Mus musculus: one gene and its partner. The protein of the gene in region 1 purifies or fractionates together with the protein of each later gene. This does not show direct contact. Links are inferred from orthologs where the notes say so. Each region holds a gene or a part of one and is shown in the gene's direction. Other genes may lie near its edges.

What was found.
Region 2: the proteins of Atp2b4 (region 1) and Nptn purify together in Homo sapiens (co-immunoprecipitation; 3 studies listed by BioGRID and IntAct, with this or other methods). This does not show direct contact. The link is inferred for Mus musculus from reciprocal best matches to the Homo sapiens genes ATP2B4 and NPTN.

What each region holds. Positions count from the first base shown.
Region 1 is NC_000067.6:133,719,109-133,722,920, reverse strand, and holds part of Atp2b4 (plasma membrane calcium-transporting ATPase 4), read left to right. Parts: intron 1-3,405; coding exon 3,406-3,597; intron 3,598-3,812. UniProt on the Homo sapiens protein: Calcium/calmodulin-regulated and magnesium-dependent enzyme that catalyzes the hydrolysis of ATP coupled with the transport of calcium out of the cell. By regulating sperm cell calcium homeostasis, may play a role in sperm motility.
Region 2 is NC_000075.6:58,580,914-58,585,160, forward strand, and holds the start of Nptn (neuroplastin isoform 3 precursor), read left to right. Parts: upstream 1-1,326; 5' UTR 1,327-1,522; coding exon 1,523-1,613; intron 1,614-4,247. UniProt on the Homo sapiens protein: Probable homophilic and heterophilic cell adhesion molecule involved in long term potentiation at hippocampal excitatory synapses through activation of p38MAPK. May also regulate neurite outgrowth by activating the FGFR1 signaling pathway.

The sequences.
Region 1 (3,812 bases):
GCCCTCTCTGTGCTTCAGTCCCCACATGAAAGTCAGGTTAAATGCCCGACTCGTCTCCTTCCATACAGAGGGTAACTTGCTTTACGTTATTTTTTAGGTATTATTACAAGCACATGTTTTTTGTTTTTTGTTTTTGTTTTTGTTTTTTTCAGTTCTGGGATTGAGCCTAGGGCCTCAAGCATGTCAGACAAGAACTCTGAGGTACCTACAGCCCAAATGGGGAAAATTGAATATAGATACGATATGCTTCAATCCATTACTCTTATTATTGTCTTGATGCTGAAACCGATCCCTCATTAGCCAGGAGTCACCCCTTCAGTGTCTCTGAGAGCTTTTGATGTAACCCCAGGTGTCTTTTATTGCTTTTTTTGGTTTCTTGCCTGATAAGACACTGCAGAGAGGTTGAGCCTTGTTGTTGGTAGTGGTGGTGGTGTTTTGTTTTGTTTTGTTTTGTTTTGTTTTGTTGAGACATGTTCTCTGTGTATAGCCTTGGCTGGCTGTCCTGGAACTCTCTATAGACCATGCTGGCCTCAGACTCAGAAATCTACCTGTCTCTGCTTCCCGGGTTGCTGGGATTAAAGGCATGTGCCGCCACCACCACCTGGCTGAGCCTATTTCTTTCTTTCTTTTTTTTTTTTTAAAGATTTATTTATTTATTATATGTAAGTACACTGTAGCTGTCTTCAGACACTCCAGAAGAGGGAGTCAGATCTCGTTATGGATGGTTGTGAGCCACCATGTGGTTGCTGGGATTTGAACTCCTGACCTTCGGAAGAGCAGTCGGGTGCTCTTACCCACTGAGCCATCTCACCAGCCCGCTGAGCCTATTTCTTATTTCCGGTCTGGTATCATGCATTGCCTCAGTGTGCCCTGCCTCACTAGGCCACACTAGGGAATACAGTCAGAGCAGAGAGGAGCATCTCCCCTCTGAGCGCATACCGTGTCAGATGCTACTGAGTGGATAACAGAGCTAAGAAGTGAGCTTTTGTGGCCTGGCTGAGTTTCTCTACCTGTTTTTAAGGTGAAATGCTTCCTAAATTGGTTGTCTTCATGTTTCTCGCTTAAAATTCTGGAATGCTATGCTTCTAATTCTCTCCTGTGTGTCTAGCTTCCCTAATTTTATATTTGCAGTTCTTGAGATAAAACCTGTGACCTCTAATGCCGTTAGTGCAATTTTTGACTTTGTCTAAAAACTATGCAATAGTTATAAAATAACAACAATAATGAAATAATTACTAAAAATATTCTCTTATTTTATTTTGAGATAGCATCTCACTAGGAACCTAGGTTGGCCTCAACCTTACTATGTAGCCCAGGAAAGCCTTAAACTCACAGTCCTTAGCTTCCTGAGTCCTGAAATCATATGCATGTACCACCACACAGAGTTAAATATTTATCTTTTTTAAATTAGTTATTATTGTTTGGTGATTCTGTACATGTACATATACGTATTACTCTTATTGTTTTTTATCTGTAGCTATATCTTACATCAAATTACTAAAACCACATAATTTTAAATTAAAAAATAGAGGCTGGAAAAATGTTTAGAGACTTGGGCTACTTTTCCTGAGGACCAAGGTTCTATTCCCAGCACCCACTTGGTGGCTCACAGCTGCCTGTGACTCTATTTCCATGGGATCTAATGGCCTCTTCTGGCTTCTGGGAGCAGCAAGCCTGCTCTTGGTGCACAGACATACTTGCAGGTGAAACACCCATGCACATAGAATGAAATCATTTAACTTTTTAAATTAAAGGTAAGGGCTGAGCCAGACAGTGGTGGTGCAGTGCCTTTAATTCCAGCAGTCAGGAGGCAGAGGCAGGTGGATGTCTGTGAGTTCGAGGCCAGCCTCTTGTCTACAGAGTGAGTTCCAGGACAGCCAGGGCTACACAGAGAAACCCTGTCTCAAAAACCAAGAAACAAAAGCAAACATAAATAAATAGAAAACAATCACATAGGAGCCAGAGAGATGGCTTAGCAGCTAAGAGCACTGGCCGCTGGTCCAGAGGACCCAGGCTTGGGTTCCAGCGCCCAATGTGACAGTAACAACCGTCCATACCTCCAGTTCCAGGGGCCCTAATGCCCGCTCCTGGTCTCCACAGGTGCCTGGTGCACAGACATGCAGGCAAAGCACCCATACACACAAAATAAAAACAAATCTTTTTTGTTAGTATAATATATGATAATATATGATATATAATATACGTACTCCTTCCTCCTAGGTTAATGGTAGGTAACGTCTGTATGTTCTTTCCCAGCTCTCTTCTGTTCAGTTAACAGTGAAGCCTGAAGATTATGTCATAGTAGTGAGCAGACCCAAGCACATCTCTCGTCTTGTTTCTTTTCACAGTGCACAGATGCTGCACAGATGCTGCACAGATGACGGCAGCATGTGGCTTTATTGAAGTTTGGGGGAAGGGGCAGGATCGCCTAGCCTAACCTCCTGCCTCGGTATTATAGACAAGCTACCATGCCCTGCGCTGTGGAACATTTTAATTTTTGTTTTGTTCTGGTTTGGTTTTGTTTTTTTTTCAAGACAGGGTTTCTCTCTGTAGCCCTGGCTGTCCTGGAACTCACTCTGTAGACCAGGCTGGCCTCGAACTCACAGACATCCACCTGCCTCTGCCTCCTGACTGCTGGAATTAAAGGCACTGCACCATCACCACCCGGCGGAACTTTTTGATAGGAAAACTGCATTATGTACTTGTAATCTAGATAGTCTTCATTTGCTTCAATCTAGATAGTAAAATAATATTACTAGGCAAACAGAATAATATACTACACACCAGAATAAAGAAGAAGTCTCCTGGGGCTAGAGAGATGGTTCCACAGTTAAGAGCAATTGCTGCTCTTACGGAGGACCTGAGTTCAGTTTGCTGCACTTACCTTGAATGGCTCACGCCTGCCTATAATTCCTTATTCAGAGGATCCAGTACCCTACTCTAGCCTCTGCGGGTACCTGTACACATGGGCACGTATGCATCAAGACTCATAAATAAACATCTAAAAAGTTTAAAGACTTTACAGGAATAATAAGCCCCAGTGGGTTAGAGGTTGCACAATGTATAATAGAAACAGATCAGGGCTGTATATGGTGATGTGCACCAGCACTTGGGAAGTAGAGACAGGAAAATCAGGAATCTGAGGCCAGCCTTGGCCACCTAGTGAGTTGGCCTTGCAAGAGACTCTGAGAGGGGCTAGAGGATGCCGTCCCATCTCTTGATCACTTATAGTCTTTCCTGCAGAGTGGCAGGGAAGCAAGGTGGGGAGGGTGGTTGTTTTCTGTTGTAGCTTCAATGCCCTCCATGCCTGCACCTGGTTCTGAGGCTTCCGGGTTCTTAGGCCCTGGGTTCAGATTGTGCTGCGTGCCCTTAACTGCTTCCCGCCTGCCTTCCTCTCCACCCCAGGGCATCGCAGGCACAGATGTGGCTAAGGAGGCGTCAGACATCATCCTGACCGATGACAACTTCACCAGCATTGTGAAGGCAGTGATGTGGGGACGGAATGTGTATGACAGCATTTCCAAGTTCCTACAGTTCCAGCTCACTGTCAATGTGGTGGCCGTGATTGTGGCTTTCACTGGAGCCTGCATCACTCAGGTTGGGTGGGGCTTGGACAGCAGAGTGGCTCGAGGCTGTTCTCAGGGGAGGGGAGGGGGAATAGCGTATCTACTCAGGAGTCAAGACAAGGGTTTCCCAGTGCTGCTCAGACAGATATCTCTACCAGGTTTAGTCTCTACCTGCTTGCTGAGCATGGAGATATATACCCAGCATTAGTTTAGCTTTTTTTTTTTTTTTTTTTTTTTTTGGTCAGC
Region 2 (4,247 bases), on another chromosome or scaffold:
ACCCTTTGAATATAGTCAGGTCAGCAGGCCAGTTTACCCTTTCTCACTTGTAAGCCACAGAGACACCCGAGGATGTCTGTTGTGACTCATAGATGAGCTAAGCCACAGAAAACACTCCTTTGCTAACCACAAGTGCTGAGGGTGGTTCAGGGAAAACAAACAAGCCAACTCCCCCAAATCTGTGTTTGTGTTCGAGAGCCTGTGTGCCCGCACTGGGAGGCCAGAAGTTGCCTTCGGGTATCTCCCTTAACTATTCTTTTTCTTTCTTTCTTTCTTTCTTTTTTTTTTTTTTTTGGAGAATACTCAGTTTTTGAGGTAGGGTCCCTCACTGAGCCTAGACCTCATCGATCGGCTAGGCAGACTAGTTAGCAAACCAGAGAGCTCTTCTCTTCTCCAGACTCAGATTACAGCGTTGGCTCTGGTGGCCATCCTTTTCTGTTTTATGCTGGGGAAACTCAGGTCTTCACGTTTGTGTATCAAGCATTTTTAAGGACTATGACATCTCCCCAGTACTCTCTCACCGCAAAAGAAGGCATTTCTCAACTTTCTATGCAACATGGCTAAACTCCTTTTTGATTGCCCCTTTCCTGTGGGTCATCTCTGATACACCAGGCTGAACAGTGAACTGAGTGGAAACTATTTTCTTACGGGTTTCCTCTACCAAAGGTTCTGCCTATTACTGGACACACTGTGACTTCCTTGTAGAATTGGATCTGTAGCCCTGCACAGGCTAGCTCTTCAGGCCCTCAGAGCTTGTGAAGCTAAAATAAGGCCAAAGAGGGGTGGGGAGGGCACAGGTAGGGAGGAAAAGGAGGACACTTGAAGGCTGAGGGAACAGATGTCCGTGCAAGGAAGCACAGCGATCGTTAACACTGCCTGGAAGGGAAAAAAAAATCCACGAGGCAGAGAGGTTGTGGCCAGATACCTCTAGGGGTCTCTGGTCAAAGTCCAGAAGGAAAAGCAGGGTTTTGATAAGGGGTACTAATAGGAAGCTCAAAAGCAGGGTCTAGGGTATCCATTTCTGAAGCTTCGAGCAGTAACGCATGAAAGGCAGGATGGGTGGGGGGAGCATTGTTTTCTCAATGCTTCCTCTAATTTCTGAGCGCTAGGATCCCATAGAAGTGAGAACTGTACTCCGCCGTCTTCCCCCGTGGGAGAAGGAGCGGGTGGAGTCCCCGCCTCGCCCCGTCACGTGGCCAAAAGCGCCCTTCGCACGTGACCGCCCTTGTGCTTGGCCAATCAGCCTCTGCAGGGGCGGGGACTTGGGGAGGGGGGGGAAGAGGGCCTCTTCTCGCGAGCCTTGCCGCCGGTGCTCCTGGCCCGCCCACGGCCGCCAGCGGAGGTCTCGCGAGGCTTGGACGCTGCGGCGGTAGGAGGAGGACAGGGAAGGACGGAGCTCGGCCGCGGCTGCCTCCCTCGTTCACTCCCTCGCGCGCGCGCTCGCCCGCCCCCTCCCTCCCTCCCCTCCCTTTCCCCGGCCCCGGCCCCGGCCCATTCGCTGCGCGCTCTCCGGCTAGGGAGGATGTCGGGCTCGTCGCTCCCCGGCGCCCTGGCCCTCTCGCTCTTGCTGGTCTCTGGCTCGCTCCTTCCAGGGCCAGGCGCTGCTCAGAACGGTAAGCCGAGGGGCCGGGGGCGGGTCGGGCGGGGGCGCCCGGCTCTGGCAACCAGAGGGGCCGGGCCCAGGCCTGAGGGGGATGCCGGAGCCGGCAGCGGGCGACCCGGCTGAGGCGAGGAGGTGCTTCGCGGAGAGGTGGAGGCGTCGCTTTGGTGCGAGCCCGGGGCTCTGTAGACAGGTCCGCGGCGTAGGGCTCATCGCGCACCGGGAGCTGGAGTAGCGGGGGCGGCTCTGGAGAAAGCGGCGGGAGACAGGCGTTCGAGTTCGAGCTGGCGGAGGGGTGGTGTCGGCGAGAGAACCGGGCTCCGCGGGCGCTGACACCCGGGATTCTACTGGGGCCCTGGAACCCGGGTGACATTCTGCAAAATGGGAGGAGGGGGGAAGCTGGGGTCAAAAGGATCCCGTAGAATACCTAGAGGCAGCAGACTGCTTGAGTCTCTCAAGGAGAGGGGTTAGTGAGCGATTCGGGAAACCTTGGATTTGGGGGTAGAGGGAAGGTGGGTGGAAAGATGGAGTGGGTTGACTGCAGTAGGGGGACCTGGAGAAGAGAAGCAGCAGTGTCTCCAAACGAGCTGGGGGAAGAGGATTGGGTTTTGCCAAGGAGGGTGGAGTGCTGGGCATTCTAGGGTAGCGGTTGGGAAAGCAAAAGGGAGTTTCTAAATAAGGAGAGGAAAATGAGCAGAGGATGCGGGGAAAGCTTTAAAACCGAGGTAGAAGAAATATCAGGGAAGTAAAGGGTGCCTGGGTATAGTGGTGGGAGTGGGGGAAGACGGAAAAATAAGGGAAGAGAGTAAAATGCAGGAAGTCGGGGGTGTAATGTTGCTTTGTAGCGCGGCGGATACATTAGGGAGGGGACGAGTTGTGGCAAATGCTTTATGATGCTAGTTCGGCCTTTGGGGAGGGCTGGGACACAGCCACATCTGCAGTGGTGGGATTGAGGGCAATGAGAGATGGTGGCAGGGGAGATGGAGGAAGTGGGCTTTTAGAACTGAAAGTTTCAAGATTGCAAAGATGTTATTTCTGAGGAATATGAATGTGGTCTCTGGGTTGGGTTTAAGGTACAGTGGAAGTGAGAATTGGGTTGCGAACTGAAGCTCTTTAGAGAAGATGGTGAAAGATAATAGGCTTGGGGAGCTAAACATGACAGATTCTGTTGGAATTGTCACAGTCCGTTGTTGAACCGCACATTCAGATACAAACCTAAAGGGATAATGAACCTAATTCAGCTATTGTGGAAACAACTATTAGGAGGTTTAAAGATTTCTATTTTAAACATGAAAAAAATTAATGAGAAGTTGGTTAGGGATAGGGAGCCATACATTAGTCATTAGTTTTAATCTCTGAATTTCTTCGTTGTTATGCTAAAACAATTTGAAGTGGCTTTCATTAAAACAAAAATCAGTCAGAGCCAGTGGAGTTGAGTATTTTGAAGACAAACTGAGCTTAAAATGCTAGCGGATACAGTAATAATGTATCACATTTAGTATTGGAAAAAAAGTCACTTTATCAAATATTCCCTTTACAAGGGAATTTTATGCCCCATGGCTTTATTACTTCATGAGCCAGAAAGGAAACATTTGTTTCTTACATTGAATATCCTAAGGATATGGACACTTCCACCCCCTTTTCCTTCAAGTATGAAGCTGTAGAAGGGAAAGGGTAAAGTTAGCCTGATTTGCTCCCTCTATGCTTGGTATCTATGTATATAAATATGTGTTATTTATCATAGATGTGATAACAATGTGAGTTTAATTCTGATTTCAGTTATTTGTGGAAATAACAGTTTCATTTTGCACTATAGATGAGAGATTCTTGATCTTAGATACTTAATCTCTGCTGGCATAAGTTATTTCTGATGATTTATAATATGGTAAATTGTAGTTTCTTAGCAACTAAGGCAAGGTTTTTGGATAGGCCTACAAAGACTCATCTGCTCTTAGTGATAATATGTTCTAAATACAGCATAGTACAGCCTTTCCCTTGAAATGAGCTTGGATTTAGTCACATGACAGGGCTAGTAAAGTGACTATGAACCCATAGTTGAGCTAAATGAATGTAAATTGAATTCATGAAAGAAATGGTTACTTCCCAGTTTATATGGTTAAGGATGCCATTTTAAAGCTTTCTGTAACGTGCCTCAGTGATATTTAAGGTTTCTGTTGATTGTAGTCCTGTAATAGTCTCATTTTGTGTCCTCAAGTGTTTTTACTTTTTTAAACAGTGAAATGAGATACCATGTTATATACCACATAGTATTTAACTATTAGACATACTGATAATAAAAATAATGCTTTGGAAAATCAGTTGTAGAGTCACTGTTTCTGGATTGAAAATGTGGCAGTTTAGATTAGGCATGTAGAAGTTTTTGAAAAAGCTTCTGTTTTTGTTATTCCTTAAGTGAAGAATTTGGTATAGATGGCCAGCAGCATTTCTTTTTAATTCCAAAAGGAATACGATCCATTACCATAGGAATTCAAGTACATTTTACTTTTCATATAAATATTCAGACTTGTAAGGTCACAGTTTCATATAAAACATAAAAATTTTAAGGTATTCAAAGGTTTTAGGTTAAAATTGAACATTAAACCAAGCTCATGATCTAGAGCACAGGCTTTGGACACAGATAGAACTG